Linked DNA regions of Macaca fascicularis. The protein of the gene in region 1 purifies or fractionates together with the protein of each later gene. This does not show direct contact. Links are inferred from orthologs where the notes say so. Each region holds a gene or a part of one and is shown in the gene's direction. Other genes may lie near its edges.

Evidence for each region.
Region 2: the proteins of SOD1 (region 1) and ENO1 fractionate together in Homo sapiens (co-fractionation; 3 studies listed by BioGRID, with this or other methods). This does not show direct contact. The link is inferred for Macaca fascicularis from reciprocal best matches to the Homo sapiens genes SOD1 and ENO1.
Region 3: the proteins of SOD1 (region 1) and PARK7 purify together in Homo sapiens (affinity purification with mass spectrometry; 4 studies listed by BioGRID and IntAct, with this or other methods). This does not show direct contact. The link is inferred for Macaca fascicularis from reciprocal best matches to the Homo sapiens genes SOD1 and PARK7.
Region 4: the proteins of SOD1 (region 1) and TKT purify together in Homo sapiens (affinity purification with mass spectrometry; 3 studies listed by BioGRID, with this or other methods). This does not show direct contact. The link is inferred for Macaca fascicularis from reciprocal best matches to the Homo sapiens genes SOD1 and TKT.
Region 5: the proteins of SOD1 (region 1) and PRDX5 fractionate together in Homo sapiens (co-fractionation; 3 studies listed by BioGRID and IntAct, with this or other methods). This does not show direct contact. The link is inferred for Macaca fascicularis from reciprocal best matches to the Homo sapiens genes SOD1 and PRDX5.
Region 6: the proteins of SOD1 (region 1) and HEXB purify together in Homo sapiens (affinity purification with mass spectrometry; 3 studies listed by BioGRID and IntAct, with this or other methods). This does not show direct contact. The link is inferred for Macaca fascicularis from reciprocal best matches to the Homo sapiens genes SOD1 and HEXB.
Region 7: the proteins of SOD1 (region 1) and PRDX2 fractionate together in Homo sapiens (co-fractionation; 3 studies listed by BioGRID, with this or other methods). This does not show direct contact. The link is inferred for Macaca fascicularis from reciprocal best matches to the Homo sapiens genes SOD1 and PRDX2.

Annotation. Positions count from the first base shown.
Region 1 is NC_088377.1:15,217,673-15,221,660, reverse strand, and holds the start of SOD1 (superoxide dismutase [Cu-Zn]), read left to right. Parts: upstream 1-1,188; 5' UTR 1,189-1,265; coding exon 1,266-1,337; intron 1,338-3,988. UniProt on the Homo sapiens protein: Destroys radicals which are normally produced within the cells and which are toxic to biological systems.
Region 2 is NC_088375.1:225,996,234-225,999,733, forward strand, and holds part of ENO1 (alpha-enolase), read left to right. Parts: intron 1-755; coding exon 756-957; intron 958-1,509; coding exon 1,510-1,618; intron 1,619-1,908; coding exon 1,909-1,967; intron 1,968-3,490; coding exon 3,491-3,500. UniProt on the Homo sapiens protein: Glycolytic enzyme the catalyzes the conversion of 2-phosphoglycerate to phosphoenolpyruvate. In addition to glycolysis, involved in various processes such as growth control, hypoxia tolerance and allergic responses.
Region 3 is NC_088375.1:226,919,773-226,923,845, reverse strand, and holds the start of PARK7 (Parkinson disease protein 7), read left to right. Parts: upstream 1-1,273; 5' UTR 1,274-1,341; intron 1,342-4,073. UniProt on the Homo sapiens protein: Multifunctional protein with controversial molecular function which plays an important role in cell protection against oxidative stress and cell death acting as oxidative stress sensor and redox-sensitive chaperone and protease.
Region 4 is NC_088376.1:116,356,366-116,359,865, reverse strand, and holds the end of TKT (transketolase), read left to right. Parts: intron 1-482; coding exon 483-566; intron 567-692; coding exon 693-786; intron 787-1,938; coding exon 1,939-2,061; intron 2,062-2,817; coding exon 2,818-2,993; 3' UTR 2,994-3,097; downstream 3,098-3,500. UniProt on the Homo sapiens protein: Catalyzes the transfer of a two-carbon ketol group from a ketose donor to an aldose acceptor, via a covalent intermediate with the cofactor thiamine pyrophosphate.
Region 5 is NC_088388.1:10,075,291-10,079,297, reverse strand, and holds the start of PRDX5 (peroxiredoxin-5, mitochondrial), read left to right. Parts: upstream 1-1,207; 5' UTR 1,208-1,216; coding exon 1,217-1,390; intron 1,391-2,729; coding exon 2,730-2,864; intron 2,865-3,628; coding exon 3,629-3,760; intron 3,761-3,832; coding exon 3,833-3,871; intron 3,872-3,974; coding exon 3,975-4,007. Other genes in the region: TRMT112 (multifunctional methyltransferase subunit TRM112-like protein), read right to left, coding at 54-143, 259-360, 440-517. UniProt on the Homo sapiens protein: Thiol-specific peroxidase that catalyzes the reduction of hydrogen peroxide and organic hydroperoxides to water and alcohols, respectively.
Region 6 is NC_088380.1:78,673,900-78,677,903, forward strand, and holds the start of HEXB (beta-hexosaminidase subunit beta), read left to right. Parts: upstream 1-1,204; 5' UTR 1,205-1,275; coding exon 1,276-1,574; intron 1,575-4,004. UniProt on the Homo sapiens protein: Hydrolyzes the non-reducing end N-acetyl-D-hexosamine and/or sulfated N-acetyl-D-hexosamine of glycoconjugates, such as the oligosaccharide moieties from proteins and neutral glycolipids, or from certain mucopolysaccharides.
Region 7 is NC_088393.1:13,188,668-13,192,657, reverse strand, and holds the start of PRDX2 (peroxiredoxin-2), read left to right. Parts: upstream 1-1,190; 5' UTR 1,191-1,251; intron 1,252-1,720; 5' UTR 1,721-1,729; coding exon 1,730-1,832; intron 1,833-1,927; coding exon 1,928-2,081; intron 2,082-2,698; coding exon 2,699-2,821; intron 2,822-3,002; coding exon 3,003-3,133; intron 3,134-3,990. Other genes in the region: THSD8 (thrombospondin type-1 domain-containing protein 8), read right to left, coding at 772-919.

The DNA of each region.
Region 1 (3,988 bases):
GTTTCACGCTGGACTTGAATTAAGTCTGAGTATTTTGCCATGCTCAGTACGAAATACTAGGCTGGACGTGGTGGCTTATGTCTGTAATCCCAGCACTTTGAGAGGCCGAGGTGGGCAGACCGCTGGCTTGAGCTCAAGAGTTTGAAACCAGCCTGGGCAACATGGTAAAACCCCATCTCTACCCAAAATACAAAAATCAGCCAGGTGTGGTGCCACATGCCTGTGGTCTCAGGTACTTGGGAGGCTGAGGCAGCAGGATGACTTTTGAACCCAGGAGGTCGAGGCTGCAGTGAGCTATGATCGTGCCACTGCACTCCAGCCTGGGTGACAGAGCAATACCCTGTCTCAAAAATCAAATAAACAACCCCTTTGCCCCGGACAAAAGTAGTTTGTACTATTTTCTCATTTCATCAAAGTTTTTGAAATATTTCCCTTGAAAGGTAAGTCATATTTATCATTCCTGTTGTATGGAGACATCACAAATTATTTCACCATTCTACCCTCCTTGAGTGTTGTGGCCTTGGGGCCAGGCAAAAACGCAGGAGATGCCTAGAAGCCAACTAGTTGCCGTTTTGGTTATCTGTGGGGTTGTAGCGTTGCCAAACAGGAAAAATATAAAAAGAATACCGAATTCTGCCAACCAAATAAGAAACTATGTGCTAAGGACTAAAACAACTGCAGGGGAAGAAAAGGTGAGGCCAGGGATTGAGGTGTAGCGACTTTCTATGCCCTCAGAAAATTAAAAAACAAGACAAAAAAAAAAAGAAAACTACAAAAGCATCCATCTTGGGCCGTCCTAATTTCTGAGTAACAAATGAGATGCTGTGGCGAAAGTCAGTCATAACCAATGACATTTCTAGACAAAGTGACTTCAGATTTTCAAGGCGTACCTTGTTTACATCATTTTGCCAATTTCGCGTCCTGCAACCGTCGGGCCACGCCCCCGTGAAAAAAAGGCTGTGTTTTTTTCCATTTCGGGGTTCTGGACCTTTCCCGGCTGCGGGGCGGGGGGAAGTCTGAGGCGCACGCGGCCCCTTGGCCCCGCCCCCAGTCATTTCCTGCCACTCGCGTCCCGAGGCTGCCGCAGGGGGCGGGCTGAGCGCGTGCGCTGTGACTGGTTTGGGGCCAGAGTGGGCGGGGCGCGGAGGTCCGGCCTATAAAGTAGTCGCGGCGCCGTGATCCCGCTTTGCGGCATAGTCTCCTGCAGCGTTTGCGGTCAGTCTCGCAATATTCGGAAGCAGGACCGCGGCGTGGCCTAGCAAGTCATGGCGATGAAGGCCGTGTGCGTGTTGAAGGGCGACAGCCCAGTGCAGGGCACCATCAATTTCGAGCAGAAGGCAAGGGCCGGGGCGGAGGCTTGTTTGCGAGGCCGCTCCCGCCCGCTCGTCGCCCCGAGCACCTGTGCTAGGAGCGGGTGGCCAGCCAGGCCTCGGGACCGCCCTGGTCCCGCGCCCGGCCTCGGGCCGCGCCGCCCGGTCGGTGCCTTTGCCCCCAGCGGTGCGGTGCCGGCTAAGTGCTGAGTCATCGGGCGGGCCCGGGTGCGGGGTGTGCGACCGAGGCCGCCGCGGGGCTGGGCCTGCGCGTGGCGGGAGCGCGGGGAGGGATTGCCGCGGGGGCGGGCGTGGGCGTGCTGCCCTCCGGGGTCCGTGGGCGGCCGCCGCGGGCTCTGTCGTGGTGCTTGGAGCAGCTGTGCTCCTCCCTTGCTTGGCTGTGTTCTCGTTCCTGAGGGTCCCGCGGACACCGAGTGGCGCAGTGACAGGCCCGGCCCGGGGTGGCGACTGCGCCTGGGCCCGGCTGGTGTCTTAGCATCCCTCTCCGCGTTCCAGCTTCAGCGCTCTGGGTCAGGGAGTCTCCGCTTTTGTACAGCTCTAAGGCTAAGTATGGGTTTTATATTTTTAAAAGGCTTTGGTAAACAAAAATACGCAACAGAGACCGTTTGTGTGACACTTTGCAGGAGTTTGTTGGCCTCTGTTCTAGGTCATGGTTGGGCTGCAAGGGCAGAGAAGGTAGCCTTGGATAGAGGTCCTTTTCCTCCTCCTAAGCTCCGAGAGCCAGAGTTTTAACTGACCGTTTTGGGGACTTTCGAGGGCGATGATTCTTAACTTTGGGTGCACAGTTAGCTTATTTGAAGATCTTACTAAAAATACACCAGAGCCCAACCTCAGACCAATTACATCAAAACCTGTCCCAGCGCAGGTGATTATTGCTGTTTTTTAAGTTTCCAAATGTGATTTTGATGTGCACCTACGATTGAGGACTGTTGTTTGAGGACAGTGGGTGGGGTTTGGGATTTGGAAATTGGAAGACCTGAAGTTTCCATTACACGGAATTGGTACTTAGTAACTCTTGTCGGAGCATTTCTTAAGCCACATTTTCTGTGAAGTGGCTTTAAAATTGCTCTGCCAGTAGGCAGGTTGCTAAGATGGTCAGAGACAAACTTCTGAACGACTCTTGTAAAATGTACAGAAATATTTTCATAACTATTATCAGTAAAATTGCAAAACGTCTTGCAAGGAAGGTGCTTGTGATAACACTGTCCCCCAGAGCCTTAGTGAAGTTACCAACTGGTGGAAAATTGTCTCGTACTCGGCTTAAAAGTCATGAGAGAATATTTATCATATGAATGAGATTCAGTCTTTAAAGGTGTTTACAGAAAGGTGAGAGGACAGGAACAGTTAGTCTGTGCAAGTGTCTGAAATGTGTATGAGGGAGATACGAGTTTAGCTTTTTTCTTTAATACGTCTCCAGATTTTCTGGAAAAGGTTCTTTGGCATTTGACTCCATTTTGCTGTTTCATTTGTCAGACTTCGTTTTGTCCCTCTTTACTTATTCCCACATAATTCACTAGTACTAGTGTTGTGTTTTGTTTCTGAGACCGAGTCTTGCTCTCTTGCCCAGGCTGGAGTGCAGTGGCGCGATCTCGGCTCACTGCAACCTCCGCTTCCTGGGTTCAAGCAATTCTCCTGCCTCAGGCTCCCGGGTAGCTGGGATTACAGGCGCGTGCCACCACGCCCAGCTAATTTTTTGTATTTTAGTAGGGACCGGATTTCACCATGTTGGCCAGGATGGTCACGATCTCTTGACCTGGTGATCCACCCGCCTCGGCTTCCCAGAGTGGTGGGATTACAGGCGTGAGCCACCGCGCCCGGCCACCAGTACTAGTCTTAAGACGCCTCTGTGGAATTCCTTCTCCCTGGCCTTTGAGAATCCATGCATGAACCCAGGTTTCTGTCATTTTCCACCTTCCCTGAGCAGCGTGCATAGTTCCTTCTTTTAAGCGCCTGACTTCGTTTTGGTTGGTGCCCCTTGTACCTGAGAAAGAGCCTTGGATAGTGGAGCATTCCAGCTTTCCAGATATGCAGAGATAATAAATTGGCTATAAACTACCTGGCGTGGCCTATTCCGTGTTTAAAATCTTAGACTCGTGGCTAGTTTTTACAAATCAGAATCTTTCACCTAATAGTCCAGTTTTCCTAGCTTCTCTTGAAGAATTGTTGGAGATCTCTTCATACTGAGCCTTCATTAGCCCAGGACAGTACTGCTGGAGCTTTCCAGGCCTGTGTTACTCACTTGAGTTCACAGCCTGGTCCCTGTAGGGTTGTACCTAAGCACAGCTACTTACATGTTCCCAATGTATTACCCGTTAAATGGAGGTTTGAAAGAACCTCCTCTTTTTGGCCCTGTGCTCTTGATAACACAGCATATTTGAGGGACAACTTTCACATTTGAGTTTTTCCAAAATTAGAGGTTGTAGAAGAGTCACAGTGTCTATTCTGAAAAAGAAAAGAATTTTTAAAAGGCCGCAATTGCCAGAATCCTTCGTTTGAGCAGTGGTATTTTCCAGTGGAAAGTCATGTCTTAAGGGTTAATGCCCCTTAACTGTTGTCCCTATTTGAAAACCAAGCTAAAAACAAGAGACACAAACATGTATGACGGTGTGGTGTGGATGATGTGTTTATTTTAGTCCTGAGATCTACTCGTAACGTCC
Region 2 (3,500 bases), on another chromosome or scaffold:
GTTGAATAATCTGCCCGAGAGCACACAGCAAATAGTGGGGCAAGAATTCAGACCAGGAAATCTGACTGCAGAGTCTGTGCATTTAACCACTACCCTAAACAACTTAGTCAAGGTTGAGCCAAGACCCAAACTCAGGTCTTTTCACTTCTGAGTCTTTGGCTCCATTCTGATTTTCAGTGGCACTAAACTCAAACCACCCTAGACAAATAAGTGTTCTCTTCTTATATAGGTCTTAAAAAGTTTTTTTGAGACTGGGCATATAGTGGCTTACGCCTGGAATCCCAGCGCTTGGAGAGACTAAAACGGCATCACTTGAACCCCAGGAGTTTGAGATCAGCCTAGTGAACATAGCAAGACTTCATTTCTGCAAAAAAATTAAAATAAGTAGCTGAATGGGTGGGAAACCCCTGTAGTCCCAGCGACTCAGGAGGCTGAGGTGGGAGAATCATTTGATCCCGGGATTTCGCAGCTACAGTTAGCTATGATTGCACCTCTGCACTCAAGCCTGGGTGACAGAGTGAGATTTTTTGTTTTAGATCTATTGACCCAGGATTGTGGGTGACTTGTCCCCTGCTGCAGGAGTAGGTTGGTGGGGCACATTGTTTCAAGGATCAGTTGGGGAGCCATCCCTGTCCTATAATTTTGGGCAGTGTGAGGCCAGGCGAGCAGCAAGTCTAGGGGGAAGCAAGGCTGGGCGTTGCAGAGGAGCACACTGGGAGGATCACACTGATGAGGCGTGTACCTCCTCTCCTTAGTGGTGTCTATCGAAGATCCCTTTGACCAGGATGACTGGGGAGCTTGGCAGAAGTTCACGGCCAGTGCAGGAATCCAGGTAGTCGGGGATGATCTCACAGTGACCAACCCAAAGAGGATTGCCAAGGCCGTGAACGAGAAGTCCTGCAACTGCCTCCTGCTCAAAGTCAACCAGATTGGCTCCGTGACCGAGTCGCTTCAGGCGTAAGTGTCTTCCCAGGCAAGCAGCTTTCCCGCAGCTACGGCTTGTGAATCAGAAAAGGGCCCTTTTGTTCTGTCGATGGGGAATCCTGCTGGCCAGAATGTAGGACACCTTGGGATTTTAACAGGTTTTGTGTTTGAACTCGGGACCCTTTTAAATTACAGGCCCAAAATGTTGGACCTGTAATCCCAACGTTTTGGGAGGCCAAGGCAGGAGGATCACTTGAGCTCAGGAGCTCAAGACCAGCCTGGGCAACATAACAAGCAGATGTATTCTGTGAAGAGCTCAGTCAGAGAACACTAGTCTTTCTCCCATCAAGGGAGGCTGAACCCAGTGTTTCAACTATGAAGAGGGCTAAGAAGGTCCTGGGGGTGGAAGAGTTCAGAGGAGGGTGAGGGTTGTCCTCTGTGCTCTTGACAGAGCCCAGGCATGGAGAGCCTTAGCCATTAACAGCCCCTCCACTGCTTTCCTGCTGGCACCGAGGGGTAATGGCATTGGGGTTTGTGGCACCAGAAAATGGGGTCATGCCATCCAGGTTGTCTCTTGGCTTCTAGGTGCAAGTTGGCCCAGGCCAATGGTTGGGGCGTCATGGTGTCTCATCGTTCTGGGGAGACTGAAGATACCTTCATTGCTGACCTGGTTGTGGGGCTGTGCACTGGGCAGGTAAGAATGAGCGTCTCCTCCTTTCTTCTCTCTGACCTCAACTTGCTGGAAGACCCAAAACCAGTGAAGATCCGTGTCTGTCCCTGTTTTGCTCATGTCCGCTGAGTTGTTGTCCTGGTTTCTGAGCCTGAACAGAATGGGGGCATGAGGGCCCTGCTTGTATGTTGTAGCCCCTCCTTTCCTAGGCTCAGATCCTCTAGAAATTCTCTCTCTGACATCACACCCTCTCCCTGCCAGAAATGCCTGCAAAGCCTGTCCACTATAAGCAAATGGCTTTTCTTTTCTCCTAGATCAAGACTGGTGCCCCTTGCCGATCTGAGCGCTTGGCCAAGTACAACCAGCTCCTCAGGTAAGGAGGGCTCTGGAGAACAAGGGGCCTGTGGTTCACCCGCTGGGGCTGCACTCAGTGTAGGCACTGCCCTCCCCCAGGAGCTCCTGGCTCTGGGAACAGGTACAGGGGCAGGCGCACAGTGCAGCCAGCCAGGCCCTAAGCAGGCCTAGACCCCAACCCCTGCAGTGCCATCAGAGGCAGAAACCTCCTCCGCACAGTGCTGCCCTCTTCCCGTAAGAGAGATTGGGACCCCCTTTGACAGCTGATCCATGACTTTCTTAGAGCTTTCAGAGAGCCCCTTCATGATCTGTTTCAGCACATTTAACCGTTTTGGATATGGAGCCAGGGCTTGGAGAGAGGAGGAAAAAGTCAAAGGGCACATGGCTGGGTTTCCACTTCTCAGTGCTGTGGGGCTGTTCTGGTCTCCCTTTCCTGTCTGTGTCCTTGAGAAGCCCCTGAACACCAGGAGACTTGTCCCCCTGTCCCCCGGTCCCCCCGCCACCCACTTTTTGTTTTTGTTTTTGTGTTTTTGAGATGAGGTCTCGCTCTGTTGCCTAGTCTGGAGTGCGATGGTGCGACCTCGGCTCACTGCAGCCTCCGCTTCCCAGGTTCAAGCAATTCTCCCACCTCAGCCTCCCGAGTAGCTGCAATTACAGGCGTACCACCACACCCAGCTAATTTTTGTAATTTTTAGTAGAGATGGGGCTTCACCATGTTGGCCAGGCTGGTCCCGAACTCCTGACCTTGGGTGATCCGCCCACTTCAGCCTTCCAAAGTGCTGGGATTACAGGCGTGAGCCACTGTACCCGGCCAATATTATAATATACCACTCCCCCACTGACTCAGGCACCACTGGGATACAAACCCCCTTTTTAGTTATTTTCTGGACTTGTAGGGAAACAACACCCATTTCCTAAGTTCTCCCCTATTACCCCTTCATTAAAACTGTATCCTGGGAATTTTCATACACACACAAAGAAGCAGGTGAACAGTAGACACAGGGCTTTTTTGTTATTTTGTTTGTTTGAGACAGGGTCTTGCCATGTCACTCAGGCTGGAGTGCAGTGGGGCAGTCATAGCTTCAGACTTCCATTCTTTTTTGCTGCGGAATTTTATTTATTTGTATTTTTTTGAGACGGATCTCGCTCTGTCGCCCAGGCTGGAGTGCAGCGGTGCAATCTTGGCTCACTGCAACCTCTGCCTCCCAGGTTCAAGCAGTTCTCCTGTCTGAGCCTCCGAAGTAGCTGGGATCACAGGTGCCCACCACCATGCCTGCCTAATCTTTTTTGAATGTTTAGTAGAGACGGGGTTTCACCATATTGGTCAGGCTGACCACAGGTGATCCTCCCACCTTGGCCTCCCAAATCTGGCTTCTCAGAGAAGCACAAGTTTAGAGGGTTTGAAGAAGGTGGACAGATTCTGTGTTCTCAACTTCCCAGGAGTGGGGCTGTGTCTGACCACATCTAGGATGGGAAAACTTACAACTTGAGGTCTGACTTTTCTTTTTTCCTCCCCATCTTTTTATCTTTCTCCTTCCCAAGAATTGAAGAG
Region 3 (4,073 bases), on another chromosome or scaffold:
TTTGTTGAAGCACATTGTAGCAGGATTCAAACTTTTAATCCCCTACATAGGAGTCACTGCCAAATTCAGCAGATTCACAGAACTACAGACATACGAAAGGTCACCAGAATATAGTTCTCATCCTGGGTGTAGCCACTGCTTACCAACCTCCAGAGTAGGTGGGCCTCAAGATAAGGAAGGGATCTCTAGGATACAGTAAAGGATAGGGAGTTGGCCAGAAAAGTTTTGCTACATTCAAGTGTCTACCGCTGGGTGGAATATGGATTTTGCCTTGCCCGTTGAGAGAAATACTGGCATAACTCCTTGATCACTGTATGTTTCCAAAGTATTGGAATTTGAAAGCATTATGGAAACGGAATTAGAGAATTATAACCGGAAATATTACAGGACTCAACATTTCAACTCTTTTGAGCTTGGTGTTTTATGTAAGATCTCACTAGGTCCTCACTCACCTCTGGGCAGGCATTGCTATTCACATTTGCAAGTAAGTTATCTTAAAAGGCTTTTTGATAACCCCTGACTGAAACCCTAAGTAATGGGATCTTACTCTCACTTCAAGAAATAAGATGCTCGCTGGGGGCGGTGGCTCATGCCTGTGATCCCAAAACTTTGGGAGGCCAAGGCGGGAGGATCGCTTGAGTCCAGGGGTTCAATATCAGCCTCGGCAACATAGCAAGACCCCGTCTCTACTTCTCAGAAAGAAAATAAAAGAAATAAGATGCCATGGAAGGGATGGCAATAAGTGTTTTCCATAAACAACCGGAGAGAAACAAACAGAAAACGCTGTCCAAGCCACAGCCTTGCTTCCACACTGGGCTTTGCAGATTTTCCAATGAGCCACCAACGAGGTGGTTAAACCATCAGAGACTGCATCTGATTCCCCAATACACCAAGGCTCGCGGGATGGGAACAGGCAAATCGTCGTCGTTCTTTGCTGAGCCTGTGGGCTGCGGTCACCAGGACGAATCTGGCCCCAGCAGGTGCCAAAGGGCTCGACCTCCCGCCTTGCATCCGGCAGGCTGTACCCACCCCTCGGAAGTCGGCGAGGTAGCTGAGGCAAAGCGACTCCAGGGCGCAGAGACCCACACGCGACGCTCTAAAGGAAGTGACCTTTAGGGGCTGTTACTCTCAGGCCAAGCCCAGCAGCACCCGGCGCATTTACGACGGATCTGACCTGCAAGCTCCGACGCGACCGCGATAGCGGCTGGGAACACGCGACGGTCCCGCCCACTGCCACCGGCTCGGCCAATCCCGGGTGCCGCGTGCTGCGGCCGCCGGAAGTAGACCTACGACATGCGGGTCAGCCGGTCGGTTTCCCGCGTCCTGTGGGAGTTGTGTCTGGTAGGCCACGGTGGGGGTGCTTTTCACACTGGTGGGCGCAGAGGCAAAGCCGTTCCCGGGGCCCCTCACAGACTTCGGTGTCAGAATTTCCCCCTTGCGCCAGCGCCGCCTCAAATGTCAGGGCTCGCCCACTCTTCTCCAGTCTCACCGACCTAACCTTTCGGGGGCTCCAGAGGGGAAATTCGCCGTTTCTGCCGGACCTCTGTAGGGCGTGCCTGAACCCGGCCTTTATGGGATGATGTCAGCTACGTTTATTCAGTGCCCCAGAGGGCTTCTTTATGCCCAGTAACTACAGTTCAGATTCCTCCTCTGCTTCATTTTGTAGTTCGGTGAGATGAATTTGACGTGAGAAATAAGATTAAAATAGGAATAAGAAATTAGTTGAAATCACGTTGTAAACTGTAGAGTTCTGCAAATGTAAAATATTAATTTATAGCAATAAAGAAGGCTGTCAAATAATAGAGGGTAAAAGCAGGATAATACTTGGTCAGCATCTGCTGTGTGCCAGGGGCTGTGACAGATGCTGGGGATGCAGCAACCACCAAGACAAGAAGGTTCTCCCGGCGTTCACAGGACTGGGGAAGACGCAATAAATAACTAAAGGCAAAATGCTAGAATGATGCGCTCTCTCTAGATGAAATATAGAAAATGATTTATTTTTTATTTTTATTTTATGTTATTTTAAGATGGAGTTTTGCTCTTGTTGCCCACGCTGGGGTGCAATGGCGCCATCTCGGCTCACTGCTACGTCCACTTTCCGGGTTCAAGCAATTCTCCTGCCTCAGCCTCGCAAGTAGCCAGTACGATAGGCGTGCACCGCCACGTCTGGCTAATTTTTTTGTATTTTTAGTAGAGACAGGGTTTCGCCACGTTGGTGAGGCTGGTCTGGAACTCCTGACCTCAGGTGATCCACCCGCCTCAGCCTCCCAAAGTGCTGGGATGACAGGTGTGAGCCACCGCCCCGGCCAAGAATGATTTAGAGTGTTTACTTAATGAGATGCCAAATTTAAGAGCGACCCATGGAAAAACAATAACTTGGGAGCAGTTTTGTTTTTTTTTGTTTTTTTTTGTTTTTTTTTTTTGTTTTTTTTTTTTTGTTTTTTTTTTTGCCGCTAAGATCAGGATAATTCTGAGGGGAGTTGTTTTTTTGGAACGATGACCAGATGGCTGTGGGTGGCTATTACTAACACTGTCAACGCCATTTCTCTGTTATTGCCTTGTGACCTTCACAGGCAGAGCAATATTTCATCATTAAAAGTTGCAACTGCTACGAGAAGCTACGTTCCTTGAAAAAACGGCGTTTTTGGCCAGGCATAGTTGCTTACACCTGTAGTTCCAGCTACTTGGGAGACTGAGGCAGGAGGATCCCTTAAGCCCAGGAGGTGGAGGCCAACCTGGGCAACATAGCCAGGCCCGGTCTCTAAAAAAGAAATAAAACCGGCAGTTTCTTCCTTTGTACCTCCCGCGATGCATAAAGAGTTGTCAAATGTTGATTTAAAAAGGTAGTGGAGCCGGGCGCGGTGGCTCACGCCTGTAATCCCAGCACTTTGGGAGGCCGAGGTGGGCGGATCACAAGGTCAGGAGATCGAGACCACGGTGAAACCCCGTCTCTACTAAAAATACAAAAAATTAGCCGGGCGCGGTGGAGGGCGCCTGTAGTCCCAGCTACTCAGGAGGCTGAGGCAGGAGAATGACGTAAACCCAGGAGGCGGAGCTTGCAGTGAGCCGAGATCGCGCCACTGCACTCCAGCCTGGGCGACAGAGTCAGACTCCGTCTCAAAAAAAAAAAAAAAAAAAAAAGGTAGTGGATAGGATGGGGGCGGTTCTGCCTGGAAATTGGAGACTGAACTCAGAAGTGTCTTCGTTGTCAGTAGTACAGCAGTATTTTTTGGTAAAATTTTTTTTGGTTTTATGTGTGATGGGAAATATGCATGAACTGTAGAGTGTCTTGAGTGTAACTGACTTTTAATCGGTAGACAGTATATGGTGGGTAGAGTGTGAAATTTAGCATCAGTAATCTGAATTTGACCAAGACTGCAGGACCTTACACAGTCATTTCACCCTTCTGGACCTCAACCTTCACATCTGTGGAAGGAAAATTATAAGACCTGCCAGGAAGTCAATATATAAGGTCTAAAGATGATAAATGAGAAATAAAATATTAGCATACTGTTTCAAAAGACTGATATACTACCAGAAGAAATAATTGAAACAGTTGAAAATACTTGCTTCTGGGGAGCAGGGCTAAGGGGAAGGACTGAGTTAGAGGGCTGCTGCTGCATGGGTTAACTACTGCTCCATAGCAAAACCTGGCTGCTACAGTTTGCCACTGGGTTGTAGTAACTCTGCTTCAGGTTGTTAGCTGTGCAGGTTGGCTGGGGCCACTCTGTTCCACATGTTCATTCTGAAACCCAGGTTGAGGGAACAGCAGCAACTTGCCTGGGGGAAAAGCTCTTCCTACAGCAATTCAACAGTATAAGAGCACAACCTAATCATCAGGGCAGACTTTTCAAGGCTTTGTTCAGGTGTCTGTTCACATTCCATGGACCAAAACAAGGCCAAACCCAAAATCAAGGGACAGGACGTAGACTCCACCCATGCAGGGGGAAGGGGAGTGACTAATTCTGAAAAATAATCCAATCTGCCACAAGTAATACTTGACTTTTTCAAACCGTGCAGTGTATTCACTTGGTAAGAATTAATGCTGACTGTGGTCCATTTCAGGTCTTGAT
Region 4 (3,500 bases), on another chromosome or scaffold:
GCCCCACTTACTGCCACGTGGCAGACGTTGTCAACTGATTGCCACAGTCTGTCTCCGCTGAGAATCCTGGCAGCCCTGGCCGGTCCGGCGGTTGACACCTGTCCACCCTCCTGAGTTGGGTTCTCCAAGACAGGCAAGGATGAGCTGAGCCCTGTGGTCCAGGCCCGGAGCTGCACTCCATAGACACAGTGTACATGGTCCTGCCCCTCTGCCTGGTGCACGCTGCAGGAGTAGCCCACCTGCAGCCAGTTTACCTGGTGGAAAGTTGCCTTCGGCCTGGGGCTGCAAGGGGCGGGCAGTTCTCAGAGTGTTCAAGTGGGGTGCGGGCGGCTGAGGGCAAGCAAGGCCCTTTTCCCTGCTGGAGTAGCCAGGATGCAGTGACTGACGCTCCCATGGGAAGGGATGGCCTCTCTAGAAAGACCTCGTCTCTGAGGTTGGGTGTGCCACATCCTGTATCCTCAGTTTATCTGTTTCCGTCTCAGGGTATCTGCTTCATCCGGACCAGCCGCCCAGAAAATGCTATCATCTATAACAACAATGAGGACTTCCAGGTCGGACAAGCCAAGGTCAGTGCCTCACATGCCCCAGGAGCCCACAGAGCTGCCTGGACCCTCCCTGCTGTGACTCCCAGCAGTCAGGGCCCACCCTGTCCCGAGGCCCTGAGCCTCACTTGCCCTCTGTGTCACCCCCAGGTGGTCCTGAAGAGCAAGGATGACCAGGTGACTGTGATCGGGGCTGGGGTGACCCTGCATGAGGCCTTGGCTGCCGCCGAGTTGCTGAGGAAAGGTGAGAAGGGGCCTCCAAAGTCATCAACTGAATGGCCACTGCATGCTAGGTCTTGGGGTTCTTTCTTTCTTGAAGAGCTCACAGCTAAAGAGAAAGAATTTCATTTAATTAAATAATGATGGTAATTAAAGCCATCCTTTGAGCACTTGTTCTGTCTGACATGATGCTAAGTCCCGGGACTGCAGTGCTCACAGTCCCTACCCTATGACTCTAAGAGATCCCCCAGCACGGTGGTCAGATCAGTGGCCTGGAGCCTGCCCGCAGGGCTGGAATCACTCAGCCAGACGCTAATTAAGGAAGTTATTCCCTACCTATCACCATGCCTGTTTTCCCATCTGTAAAATGGAGATACTAGCCCCTTCCCCGCAGGGCTGTCCTGAGGGTTACATGCATGTGACCTGGTATTCTATTATTATTACTGCGAGCTCACAGTGTTGGCTAGTGGTTTGTAGGGGAGACAGGCATTGGCCTCTCCTGCAATAGAATCACACAACAGATGTCATGTTTTAGCACGAAAGAGCGGGCAGGTGTGGCATCTTCCAGAAAGTGGCCTCAGAGTGGGTAGGAATTGATCGGTAGAGAGGGGAGTAAAGGGAGGCCGGAGCAGGGCCAGGCAGGAGCAAGATGGGGCTGGAGGAGCCAGGGGACCCCATCCCCAGGCAGGGGGAGATCCAGTGGGGTGAGCTTTAAGCAGGGCCTGGCAGGCGTGGGTTTGTCCTTCTGAGAAGGTGCTTCTGCTGCTGGGGCTGCACCTGGGCCTCTGATCACTCCGCTGGCTGCAGCTCCCCCACATCACCACATCAACCCTCACCTTCTGTCAGGCCAGATACCTGGAGTGTGTCCTCTCGCATTCCCTTTGTCTTCGAGGTTGTGGGAGGATGAGGGAAGGCGCTCAGGGCCTGCACACTCCACTCTGGGTTCTTGGATACTGCAGGCAACACAGCTGGACCAGATGCCCCAGTGCAAGGGGTTGGCAGGCATAAGCTCAGCCATGGGAACAAGGTGGCAAGTGGTTCTCCCTGGGACAGGGACAGGCCCGCAGGCTGAGCTCTTAGCTAAACGCAGTCCTCAGGATGTCCCACCAGGCCCCCACCAGGGCAGACGGTGGTGCCCAGCCCTCCCCTCAGCCATGCCGTATGCTCTCCCTCACAGAAAAGATCAACATCCGCGTGCTGGACCCCTTCACCATCAAGCCGCTGGACAGAAAACTCATTCTCGACAGCGCTCGTGCCACCAAGGGCAGGATCCTCACCGTGGAGGACCATTATTACGAAGGTAAGGAGGCCTGGGGCAGGCAAGCTGGGCAAGGGGCAGGGCCAGAGAGCCCGAGCATTGGACGTGCCTCTTCTGTCTGAGCCCCAGGAGGGCAGCGGTGGCCCAGAACCCCCAGAGCTGTCCCTCTAGAGCAGCTGGGACGTGGTCTCTTAACAGGCCTCAGGCTTGGCCTGGAGACCCAGCTAACGCACAGCTGCTGGTGAGCTCTGTGGAGCTCCTGCTGCCCAGGAAGCTGGCGAGGATTCCAGCCTCGCTGCTAAATGGTGGATGGTGGTGTCCCTGAGGTAGTGGTGAGTCCTTCACACAGCAGGCTCCCTAAGTACACACCAGCCTCTCTAAGGAGGAGGCCCCAGTGGGAGAGATGGGCTTTGACTCTGGGGTCAAATCTAGATAATCAGACTATGGACAGTTGCTGGCCAGAGGATGGTGTTTGAAACAAACATTTAGAGGCCACGTTTGGGCCTATAAAAATAGTTTTGGGCCGAGTGTGGTGGCTCACGCCTGTAATCCCAGCAGTTTGGGAGGCTGAGGATGGCAGATTTCTTGAACTCAGGAGTTGGAGACCAGCCTGGGCAACGTGGCAAAACCTGACTCTTTAAAACAATAAAAACAATGAGTTATGTGATGGGCTCGTGGCTGCAGGTGGAGAAAGGCGGTGCGTATGCAGCTTCCTCCATCCTTGACTAAGGCTGACAGGGCTGGGCCCACCACTGCTCACCCTGAGGCCTCGTCTGACTCCCCTCCTTTCATTTCTAGGTGGCATTGGTGAGGCTGTGTCCAGTGCAGTAGTGGGCGAGCCTGGCATCACTGTCACCCACTTGGCAGTTAACCGGGTACCAAGAAGTGGGAAGCCAGCTGAGCTGCTGAAGATGTTCGGTATTGACAAGGATGCCATTGCACAAGCTGTGAAGGGCCTCATCACCAAGGCCTAGGGCGGGTATGAAGTGTGGGGCGGGGGTCTATACATTCCTGAGATTCTGGGAAAGGTGCTCAAAGATGTACTGAGAGGAGGGGTAAATATATGTTTTGAGAAAAATGAATTGGCCCTGAAATGTTTTCTTCTTTGATGTGTTTGCAGCCAGTGTGGGTTCTGGGGAAGAAGGGTAGAGGGTGCGCTAGGGAGGCTGGTGTCCTTGGCCCTGGGCCAGGACCTGGGTGTCCCAAGTCCCCTTGGAATCACCTGCAACTGCCCTTAACCTCCAGAACTATCACTGCCTCCCATTCATCACCAGGTGACATTTGACTGCAACCTGCCTTCTTGCTGAGAGGCTGAGACCCACATCCCTCATTGTGACCTCAGTCCGCCCAGCCCTGAGGGGGCTGGGGAACTGCTCGGTCTGGAAGCTGACGGGGCACTCTCAGGGCTGCCCCACCTCCCCCAAGTCCCCACAGCCTTGCAGTCAGGTCTCAGGGTAGAGAGGTTCACTTGCTTACTGTCC
Region 5 (4,007 bases), on another chromosome or scaffold:
CCTCAGTGAGGGAGGCAGGTGGCCCAGGAAGCAAGTGATGGGCCGCTTCTCACCTCCAGCAGCAGATGGTGCATAGTCCTCAGAAACTCTTCATTCTCCTCATATCCCTCAACCGGCCCTTTAGGCACCTGGATCAGGCGCAACTGTGGGCAAGAGGCGAAATTATCTCCGGGCATCCCGAACTCCCGCCTCAGCCCGGCTGAGGTGTGCCCGCCCCGCACTCCCCGGGATATGCTCGGGCGGGGTAAGGATCCTCACATTATCGGCCGCTTCCAGGAACGCCGCCCACTCCACCTTAGGTATCATACGCGCCACGAAGTTGGGGTTGAACTCCACAGGGCAGATACGGACCTCAGTGGCCTGGCAGGGCGGAGGAGTTTAGGCAAGCACTGGACCCTGGCCCACCATCCCACCCGAAAAGGGAAGCCCGCCGTGGTACCTGGAGGCGCAGGGGGAAGCCACGGGACCCCACCCCCCGCACATGCGAGCTCAGCAGATTGTGGGTGAGCAGTTTCATATCGCCGAACAGGCTCTCGTCAGGCCGGAACCGGAAAGAGGGCGTCCTCCGCTTCGTCACTTCCGGGGATGCTCCACTCGATGCTATTGGTTGGCCAGGAGAACCGGAAGTGGCGAACTTACTGGAAATTCTCGTGCTTGCGGGAGCTGAGCTAGGTAAGTGAAAGACCTGTCGGGTCACGCGCCACTACCGGAAGCGTCTCAGCAGGAGGTTCCTACAGCGCACGCCCAGCTTTTTTTTTTTTTTTGCACAAATCCGTCGTATCATGCAAATCATATGCAAAATAGCTGCAATGCAGGGGCTCTCGTTGAATGCAAAATAAACATGTTTTACTCCTACACAGGCGCCTAACACCGTCGTCTTCTGTACCCCGCTTTCGGCTAAGGGGCAGAAATACTGCCCTATCTGTAAATTAGACCCGTGGAAGCCGAGCGGCACCTCATTCTTATATGCAAATTAGCTGCCCCAATGCCGAAAGCTCTGCCCAATTTGTAATTGCGTCTGCTGTCCAGCTAGCCCCCAAGGCAAATGAGGCGAGGGTCCCGGAAGCTCTGTTACACGCGTGGCCGCTCGCGCCTGCGCAGTGGAGGCGGCCCAGGCCCGCCTTCCGCAGGGTGTCGCAGCAGTGCCTCCAGCCGTGCCCCGCCTGCTGCGGTGGCCCCAGCTAGGGGGCGGAGTGAAAGTGGTCTTAGGGCGGGTATGGGACTAGCCGGCGTGTGCGTCCTGAGACGCTCAGCGGGCTATATACTCGGTGGGGCCGCCGGTCAGTCTGTGGCAGCGACAGCAGCAGCAAGACGGCGAAGTGAAGGAGGGTGGGCGTCTGGCGGGGTCCGCAGTTTCAGCAGAACCGCTGCAGCCATGGCCCCGATCAAGGTGACCGCTGGCCCGGCCGGGCCTGACATCCCCCACTACCCCCATGCCAACCCCCGTCGCGCTGGTCTGGGAATATCGCCTTATTTCCTGCCTGCCAGACCCCTCCCCGCCGGCCGCCCCGCTCATCCCTTCAGAAGGCCCTCGTGGCTGCCCACCCTTCTCGCCAATCGTGGGGACCTCACCTCCCGGGGCAGTTCCGAGGCATTGTTTCTTTTTTTTTTTTTTTTTTGAGATGGAGTCCCTCTGTGTCGCCCAGGCTGGAGTGCAGTGTCGCAATCTCTGCTTACTGCAATCTCCGCCTCCCGGGTTGAAGCGATTCTACTGCCTCAGCCTCCTGAGTAGGTGGGACTACAGGTGGGAGCCACCACGGCCGGCTACTGTATTTTTAGTAGAGACGGACGGGGTTTCACCCTGTTGTTCAGACTGGTCTGGAACTCCTGACCTCAGGTGAACCGCCCGCCTCGGCCTCCCGAAGTGCTAGGATTACAGGTGTGAGCCACCGCTCCTGGCCTGATTTCCCATATCTTCTGAAACAGCTGTCCCTTAGTGCCCCCGCCGGGGCTTCCCCCATCCCGCTCCGCCCTCCCCTCCTCCCATGGCGAATTCCCACCTTTTTGCTCGTCTTTCACTCACCTCCTGGAACCGTCCCCGGGGTCTTGGACCTTCCCCCTTCTCCTCCCAAACCCTGTGAGACCCCATTCCCTTTCTACTTCATCCTGCTGCCAACCTTTGGGCTCCTCAGAGACTCCACCACCTCAGACTCTCTCTCCCTACCCACTCTGGCCCCATGAAGCCCTCACATACTCCAGGGGCGGATCCTTCCCCCTTCAAAAGATTCCTTCTTTTGTTGTACCCCTCCTGGGTGTAGGGGCCTGGACAGCCTCCCCCAGTGTTCCACCTGCCGCTGCCCTCCCTCTTTCTCCTCTTGAGGGTGGGACCCTCAGACCTGCCCAAGATCCTCTCCCTCCATGTTGTCAGGGACTCCTCCTCACCTCCAAATACAGCCCTCTAGCCCCTGCCCATTTTATTCCACTCCTTTCCTGTAACAGACAGCATGTTATGTAACCCTTTGTGACACTAGGGGAAGCCTTCCCTCCCTTTCTCTGTTGTCACCAATGGCCCCTTAAAAGGAGCAGGGCCATCTTGAAACCTAGAGGATATGGGGTAACCCGGTGTGAGCGGGCAGGGAGGGCCCTTGGAAACTCTGACAGGGCTGGAGCATCCTGCTGGGTTTCAGCCCCGGCTCCTGAAGGCCCGGCTGCCAGGCGCTCTGTTCACTTTCCTGCCTATGGTTTGCCCCGCTCCCTCACCCCCCTTACCTTGGAGTCCTTCCCTCTAGGTGGGAGATGCCATCCCTGCAGTGGAGGTGTTTGAAGGGGAGCCAGGGAACAAGGTGAACCTGGCAGAGCTGTTCAAGGGCAAGAAGGGTGTGCTGTTTGGAGTTCCCGGGGCCTTCACGCCTGGATGTTCCAAGGTGAGGCCCTTCCCCTTCTGAAGATCAGGACCTGGGATCTCTTGTGTTGTTCTTAAGTCGTCCACATAGTCCTGACAGGACTCCTAAAAAGCATTTCAGTGCCATCAGAAAACAAGTAGAGCTGGACGCGGTGGCTCACGCCTGTAATCCCAGCACTTTGGGAGACCAAGCTGGTGGGTCACGAGGTTGGGAGTTCAAAAGCAGCCTGGCAAGATGATGAAACCCTGTCTCTACTAAAAATACAAAAAAATCAGCCAGGCGTGGTGGCGAGTGCCTGTAATCCCAGCTACTGGGGAGGCTGAGGCAGAGAATTGCTTGAACCCAGGAGGCGGAGGTTGCAGTCAGTGGAGATTGTGCTACTGCACTCCAGCCTGGGCGAAACAGTGAGACTACGTCTCAAAAAAAAAAAAATAGAGACTGCAAAAAGGGAACAGTACCAGGAATGTTGAAGAAAAACATATTGCAATTAAATCCAACACCCCTGTTGGTCCTGCTAAATGACAGGCACTTTGGAAGGTGCTTGGAACTCAGATAACTAAGACATAGTTCTGCCCATGGAAAGTTCACGTCTGGACCATAAGGCATTAGGTTTCATTCTGAGCTTCCTAGTGGCCAAGGCAAAAAGGAAATAGAGTGGTTTAGACAACTCTCATTGTCTGATCAAAGGTGTTGAGGCAGAGCAGTGAGGAGGGCCTGGAGATGAAGGGTGGGCTAGGGGGCAGATGCAGTTATCACTTTGCCAACCCTTTGTTCCCCTTCCCCAGACCCACCTACCAGGGTTTGTGGAGCAGGCTGAGGCTCTGAAGGCCAAGGGAGTCCAGGTGTTGGCCTGTCTGAGTGTTAATGATGCCTTTGTGACTGGCGAGTGGGGCCGAGCCCACAAGGCGGAAGGCAAGGTGAGGTGTGGGGCCTGCAGGGAGTCAGGGCCAGGTAGGATATTCTTCTTGTGACCTTTCCTTTCTCTGCAGGTTCGGCTCCTGGCTGATCCCACTGGGGCCTTTGGGAAGGTGAGTGTTCCCCTGACCACCACAGGAACATGGTCGTGTGGGGAGCAGTGGGGGCCCTTAGCCTCTTCAGGGATTTCTGATACTTTTCTCTGTCTCTTCTTAGGAGACAGACTTATTACTAGATGATTCGTTAGTG
Region 6 (4,004 bases), on another chromosome or scaffold:
AGAGACGGGGTTTCACCATGTTGGCCAGGCTGGTCTCGAACCCCTGAACTTGTGATCCACCCACCTTCACCTCCCAAAGTGCTGGTATTTCAGGTGTCAGCCTCCGCACCCGGCCTAATCATTCCTTTTTTTTTTTTTTTTTTGAAGTCTTTCCTTAAAGCTCTTCCACCCTCATTTTCAGAATACTTACTAGAGCAGATCTGTGGCTTTGGTCAGCCTAGCGTTTTTTCCTTCTAGTAAGAGAACACCTCTTCTCCCTTTGGCATGGCCAGTCCGTGTTGGTCATGTGACTTCACTGGCTCTTTCTTAGGGATGGGTTATGAAATCAAACTAGTCAGTTGGGATCCTTTATCGGGATCGACACAGATAAGCCAAGAGTTCTCTCTCAGGATTTCTTGGGCATGCTCTGCCCCAAGGAGTTCTGACGGGAAGGCTTTATTGACTACAGCTGAAATGCCATTACAGAAAAGCCTCAACCTAGGAGCAAATAAACTCAGCTCTCATCAGTTATCTGGTGGTTGAGCTGAGAGGAGAAAAGTGCTCCCCAAGCTTGGCTTCTCCAGCTTCACCAAAGCCAGGGACCTAAAGGAGAGCGCCAGTGTCGCCAGCGTGAGCGGGCGGCGGCCTGGTGCCGGGCTGGCATCCCCAGCCTGTGCACTGGGCACTTTTCTTTTTCTTTCTTTCTTTTTATTTTATTTTTTTATTTTTATTTTTATTTTTTTTTTTGAAACGGAGTCTTGCTCTGTCACCCAGGCTGGAGTGCAGTGGCGCGATCTCGGCTCACTGCAATCTCCGCCTTCCGGGTTCAAGAGATTTTCCTGCCTCAGCCTCCCGAGTAGCTGGACTACAGGCACCCTCCATCATACTCGGCTAATTTTTGTATTTTTGTAGAGACGAAGTTTCACCATGTTGCCCAGGCTGGTCTTGAACTCCTGACCTCAGGTGATCCGCCCGCCTCGGTCTCCCAAAGTGCTGGGACTACAGGCGTGAGCCGCCACGTCCGGCCAGCACCGGGCATTTTTCTTATTTTAGCCATCCCGTGTTTGAGGTTGCTGTCTGGGCTCTGCTCCTACCCGAGGGCAGCCCGGAGGAAATTCTCGAGGTGGCCTGGGCAGGGCGGGCTGGGCGAGGGCGCGCCCGGGGCCTGGAGGCGGAGTCGGGGGCGGGGCGCGCCGTCATCTGACTCGGTGACTCACCCGCGGCCGCGCTTCCTCTGACCTGGCCGGGCGGAAAGTCGGATCCCGAGGCTTCAGCTCGGAAAGCAGCTGAGCGACCATGGAGCTGTGCGGGCTGGGGCTGCCCCGGCCGCCCATGCTGCTGGCGCTGCTGTTGGCGACGCTGCTGGCGGCGATGTTGGCGCTGCTGACTCAGGTGGCGCTCGTGGTGCAGGTGGCGGAGGCGACTCGGGCCCCGGGCGTCTCGGCCGCGCGGGGGCCGGCGCTGTGGCCCCTGCCGCTCTCGGTGAAGATGACCCCGAACCTGCTGCATCTTGCCCCGGAGAACTTCTACATCAGCCACAGCCCCAATTCCACGGCGGGCCCCTCCTGCACCCTGCTGGAGGAAGCGTTTCGGCGGTGAGGGCTCCCGGCCGGGAAGTGTCCTGGGGGAGGGGAGGTGGACCACCCCGGGGCGCTCTGCAGACCCTCACCACCCCACTGCGCAGACGAGGAAACGGCCCCCGGAGCGGGCAGGCGATCTGCCCAGCGCCACACGGACTGAACCCACGCTCTTGCCCCCACCCTCCTACTGCTTCTTAAGGGACACCTTGGGTGCTCAGGAACCCTAGTTTGAGAGCAGGATACTAAGTGGAAGAGGGAGTTTGCTCTGAGGCCTTGTTGGGCAAATGACATGGATGGAGGGGACACCCGGTTCCCCAGCTCCAGAGCTGGGGAGGAAAGTGACAGCTCCTTATTTGAAGGACGTTCAAAGGGATAAGTTACCTGAAGGGCTTAGACAAGCTCTCTTGAGGGACCAGGAATTCCCCAAAGCTGACTGTCATTTATAGGCCAATTTCACCCTCTTGCCTCTCCTCAAATCTCCTGGTAATAACTCAAATGGCGGAAGTCCTCAGTTTCGAGCACTGCCTAAAACTCCCCTCTCACCTAAAATCTCTTCCACATAAAATGTGAGATGTTTGCATCTAACTACGTTTCTGCAGCCAGTGGTTAGACAGTATCCAACTTTGTTTCTCAACACCAATCATGTGCCTGCTCTCCCTGCTTCCTCTTTTACAGAGCCCTAGATAGCGCCTCTGTCTCCCTCACCCTTTGGCTGCGGACAGGGTGAAATTTGTCATGGGAGTCAGCCAATCACACAGTAGACAAGACAGTTTCCCCTGGGGAGATGTTTGAAGAAGCCACACACTGTCCCTTCAGTGTGAGACTTGTGTAGGTAGGACTGTCCTGAAGGCGTATCGTGCCCCGCAGAACTGTAATTTGGTGCTAACTGTACTGCCTCCTGGCATTCCCCAAGCCTGTCTCTGTGCCCAGTAGATACTATAGAGCTTAAGTGTGCTTGCAGGACACTGAACAGGTGGGGAGGAAGTGCAAAACTAACTGAATAACGTGTTCTGACCCCAGATAGGACAGGTGCCTAGGCTCAAGCTGAAGAGGCCGGAGATGTTGATGGCAGAGATGGTTCATTCTCTACAATCAGAAGGCTCACGGTTTCCTTCTGTTTTGTACAACTAAATGGGTATTATCAGTCCCTATTTTAGGCACACACACTAATGAGCCTTTGGTATCCAATCTGCTAAGGCCAGAGGGGGGTTAAGATGTAGAATCAAAGTGTTTGGTTGCATTGGGATATTCAGAAAGATTGCATGGAAAGTACACGAAGGTTGTCTCAGAAGATCACGACTAGGGTTGGAAATCTTTTAAAAACAAACACCTTTATTATGTTTGCCTTGGAGTTCAGCTTGTAGAATTGGATTTTCCTTCTGTGTCATACTGCTAAGTAAAACAAGGACTTGGTAATACGCTGAACTGACGATGACAAGAAAGCATAGGTGATGTAAGTTAACAATAGGTAAATAACCAGGACTTGAATCAGCTGAGATGATTTGAAGGCAAGGCTTGGCATTTCAAGGCAGGTGCGGGTGACTGCCTGAAGAGTTTGCCTAATTCATGGTCTCTGAGTGGAGCAGCCATTAATTATGCCTGGCGTTATTAGGAAGCAGGTCATAAAATGTATTAGCCCTTATGGCTAAGACGTGAAGGCATGCATGTGAGCATTCTAGGAGCTCAGCACGGGCGGTAGCTATCTCAGAGTAAAAGCACAGTGGAGTTAGAAAGATTTGGAAATATGGGGTGTTCAGAAAGTGTGACGTGGTCAGGAACACACAGCCGGGGCCCCAGATTGTTCAGAATCACATAGCCCCTGTCTCTGAAGAGCCCAAGTTGTATCACAAACCCTGCTTTGAAACAGTATGTTTTTTGCAGGCAGAGAGTTCAGCTGTTAGGTGCATAGCTGCTTCTTCAGCTTCTAGGACAGCGTCCATCACATGCTAGTCACTCATTTTAAAAAATAAACAAATAGCTTCACTCCTTCATTTCCTGGAAGGCTAAACTAACCCACATACCTTTGACATACTGCTTCACAGCCCTTTGAGTTTTCTGTTAGAATTTTACTACCTAGGGTTAAGGTTCTAAGCCAGTTTCCAACTCTGATCTCGAAGCTGTTGGCAGCTTTAATTTCCTTTTTTAAAAAATTTTAAGTATGGAAAAAATATAAAATTTACCATCTTAACCTTTTGTAAGTATGTATTTCAGTGATCTTAATTTCCTTTTTAATCTGTCAAGGTTTTCTGTCAACACCTTCATCCATTCCATTCTCTCATTGGTTAACTTCCATACACTCCCAAACATGTCACAATTTTCCAACCTCCTCTTCTGCGAAAAAGCGTAAGATGTTCTTACACATAAGTAGCATATATAACCTTCTGGCTTGCCAAAATCTGTAAAATATTTAAACAATTGTCCTGAAGCTTATCTGATCTTTTTTAT
Region 7 (3,990 bases), on another chromosome or scaffold:
CACTGCAAGCTCCGCCTCCTGGGTTTACGCCATTCTCCCGCCTCAGCCTCCCAAGTAGCTGGGACTACAGGCGCCCGCCACCTCGCCCGGCTAGTTTTTTTGTGTTTTTCAGTAGAGACGGGGTTTCACCATGTTAGCCAGGATGGTCTCGATCTCCTGACCTCGTGATCCGCCCGTCTCGGCCTCCCAAAGTGCTGGGATTACAGGCTTGAGCCATCGCGCCAGGCCTCCAAGTCCGATCTTATCCCAACTCGCGGCTCACCAAGATCTGACACCTGCTACCCTCCCACACCCACTCTGCCACATCTCACCGACCTCTTCCCATTTCTCCTTTAGGCCTTTTCACCTTGGCACTTGCTATTCCCTCTTTCTTGGACATTCTTTCCCCAAATCTTTCCATTTGGGGTTTTCGCTTGTCGTTCTCGCTGCACTGGTCACGGGTCTTCTGCAACCGGACCCTCTCTGACTTCCCAAGCTTGCCCGCCCCCTTCTTGCTCTGCTTCTGCCCTTCCTGGCACCTATCCCCGAGTGACAGCTTCAATGTCCTACCCACACCCTCTTCCCCTGGGAGCTGCTTTAAAGCAGTATCTATTTCAACGTATCCAAGAGTAAACCGAGCCTCAGAGAACAGTAACCAGCCCAAGGGGACGCCTCCAGTGCAGAGCTGGGTGGAGATTTGCAGCCCGCGGAGGAAGGTCCCTTTGCAGCCAGCAGGAGAAGTAGGGCAACGGGGAGCCTATGGACATCGTCACCCCCGCCGCCTGAGGTTACCCTTTAGATGCTGCAGCCTCAGCTGCTCCCAGGTGTCACCTTCGCCCTGCTGGCCGAAGTACTGATAGTCCTGGTAGACCTGGGCAGGGGTCGCCAGCGGCAGGAGTAGCAGAGGCGCCAGCAGCAGCGCCGCCGGGGTCCGGGCCATGCCCGACTCCAACGGCACCCAGCGCGCTCGCAGGGAGAGTTGTGCGCGGAGTCTGCGGCGGCCGCATTACCCCCGCGAGCCGGTGCAGTGGTCCCGGCCGAAGGCAACACGTCTCCCCCCGGCTCCCGCAGGCGCATGGACTCGGCCGCACGCTCCCCCGCACCTGAGGGTGCAGTGGACCCGACCGCTCGGCTCGTTTGCTCCCTCCCCTGCGCAGCGCACATCTTGGTTCGGGCCGGGCATAAAAGGCTTCGCGGCCCAGGGCTCACTTGGCGCTGAGAACGCGGGTCCACACGTGTGATCGTCCGTGCGTCTAGCCCTTGCCCACGCAGGTATAGACACACAGAGTGCACCTGGCGGGAGGACCCCCTTCAAGCTGCTTTGGCCGGATCCTGACCTCAGTGCTGGCCGCCTTTGTTTTCCATCCGCTGTAGTGGCCTCCTTTGTCCTTGCGGGGGAAACCGAGGCCACAGCCTTGCAGTGCAGGCCCGATCGCCCTGTTCCCCGCCCCCTGCTCGAGGGGGCCTCACTGTCTCCTTCTGGACTTGGGGCTTGCGACACCGCGCTCCGGCCCACTCGCTCGTGGGGTGCTAGTGGCAGTGGCTGGGTCACTCGTGCTCTGGTCAGGAGGGCGGGTCTCCGGCAGCCTCTGGGCTTCGCAGACCCGGTACCCGGGAGGGTGAGGGTTGGTGCTGTCGCCTCCGCCGTGCTGACTCAGTCACAGGGCCCAGCACGCAGCGCGACCTTGGGGTGGGAGGACAAAGGGTCTTCCCGGGCGCACTGACCGGACAGGGGTCTCAGCTTTCAGTCATGGCCTCCGGTAACGCGCGCATCGGAAAGCCAGCCCCTGACTTCAAGGCCACAGCAGTGGTTGACGGCGCCTTCAAAGAGGTGAAGCTGTCGGACTACAAAGGTGAGCGCAGCCCGGAGCGGACCCAGGTAGAAGCAGAAGCGGGGCCGTGCATGAGAGAGGCTGGGCCCTAACTCCTCTTGGTCCCTCCTCCCCAGGGAAGTACGTGGTCCTCTTTTTCTACCCTCTGGACTTCACTTTTGTGTGCCCCACGGAGATCATCGCGTTCAGCAACCGTGCCGAGGACTTCCGCAAGCTGGGCTGCGAAGTGCTGGGCGTCTCGGTGGACTCTCAGTTCACCCACCTGGCTTGGTATGAGCAGGGGCCAGAGAAGGAGGTTGCAGCTAAGCTCACACCCTCGGGTCCGAGCTGTGTGGCTTCATGACCATTGCTTAATCTCTGGAACCTGCGTTTCCCCATCTTGAAAATAATGGAAATATTGCCGCCCAAGTTTTTAAGGATGGCAGTAATTAGCATTTGGCAGCTAGTTGAGCTAGTTGTTTGGCACATAGAATTGCAGATGCAACTCAGATGCAACTTTATCTGCTCTATCTACTAGTTCCCAGGAGGGAGGCTGTGCTGCCCTATTTCATAAAGATGGAAACTCGGGTTCACCTAAGTGAAGAGCTGTACCCCATGACACAGCTAGAGGAGGACGGGGACTCTTAACACGGGCTCTCTCCTGGGTGATGCTGCAAGTTACAAGCACATGTGAAGCCACTTAGCTGGAGCGTGGCCTCTCAAGCTTAGTCTTCCCAGCTGTGGGAAGTCCTTGTACCCAACCCAGGGTGGGGTGGGTGAGGCTCCCAGCAGCCTACTTTAAAGCCCCTTATCTTTGGCCTCCAGTGCTTATCACATTGGGCCCACAGGGTGAGGACCCGGCTGTACCAGGCATCCTGAGGCCCCAACTCTATCTCCTCTACTCCCAGGATCAACACCCCCCGGAAGGAAGGAGGCTTGGGCCCCCTGAACATCCCCCTGCTTGCTGACGTGACCAGACGCTTGTCTGAGGATTATGGCGTGCTGAAAACAGATGAAGGCATTGCCTACAGGTACTGTGGGACCCTCAGCCCGGCTCATGGAGACCCCCCATTCCTGTGGAGCTGGAACCACTCCTGTACAATGTCTTCTCTGCCCCCAGCCCTGTGGCTAGCAGCGGGTGGTTGGTAGTCCCTTCCTTGTCTCTGGCAGTGGGAGCTCCCAGCTCCTTACTGGGAACCCTGATGTCTTCAGGGGCCTATTTATCATCGATGGCAAGGGTGTCCTTCGCCAGATCACTGTTAATGATTTGCCTGTGGGACGCTCCGTGGATGAGGCTCTGCGGCTGGTCCAGGCCTTCCAGTACACAGACGAGCATGGAGAAGGTGAGCAGAAACACACATGACACATGGGTACATACTCAGTGCCTCTGTCACTCATGCAAACATTCACTGCCTGTCCTCTGACCTGTCCAGATGGGTGTTAGGGCCCCAAAGAAGATTCAGCTCAGGGGTTTGTCTGCAGGAAGTTTCTAGTGTGGTAGGAGACAAATACTCCTGACATTCAACCAAGGTGGACAAAGGAGCTGGGCTCAGTGGCTCACGCCTGTAATGCCAGCACTTTGGGAGGCTGTGACGGGTGGATCACCTGAGGTCAGGAGTTTGAGACCAGCCTGACCAACATGGTGAAACCCCGTCTCTACTAAAAACACAAAAAAATTGGCCGGGCGCGGTGGCTCAAGCCTGTAATCCCAGCACTTTGGGAGGCCGAGGCGAGTGGATCACGAGGTCAGGAGATCGAGACTATCCTGGCTAACATGGTGAAACCCCGTCTCTACTAAAAATACAAAAAACTAGCCGGGCGTGGTGGCGGGCGCCTGTAGTCTCAGCTACTTGGGAGGCTGAGGCGGGAGAATGGCGTGAACCCGGGAGGCGGAGCTTGCAGTGAGCCGAGATCACGCCACTGCACTCCAGCCTGGGAGACACAGTGAGACTCCGTCTCAAAAAAAAAAAAAAAAAAAAAATTAGCTGGGCATGGTGGCATGTGCGTGTAATCCCAGCTACTTGAGAGACTGAGGCAGGAGTTCTCTTGAATCTGGGAGGCGGAGGTTACAGTGAGCCGAGATCGTACCATTGTACTCCAGCTTGGGCAACAATTAGCCTGGCTTGTGAAGCATACCTATAGTCCCAGCTACTCAGGAGGCTGAGGCCGGAGGATCGCTTGAGCCTGGGAGGTCGAGACT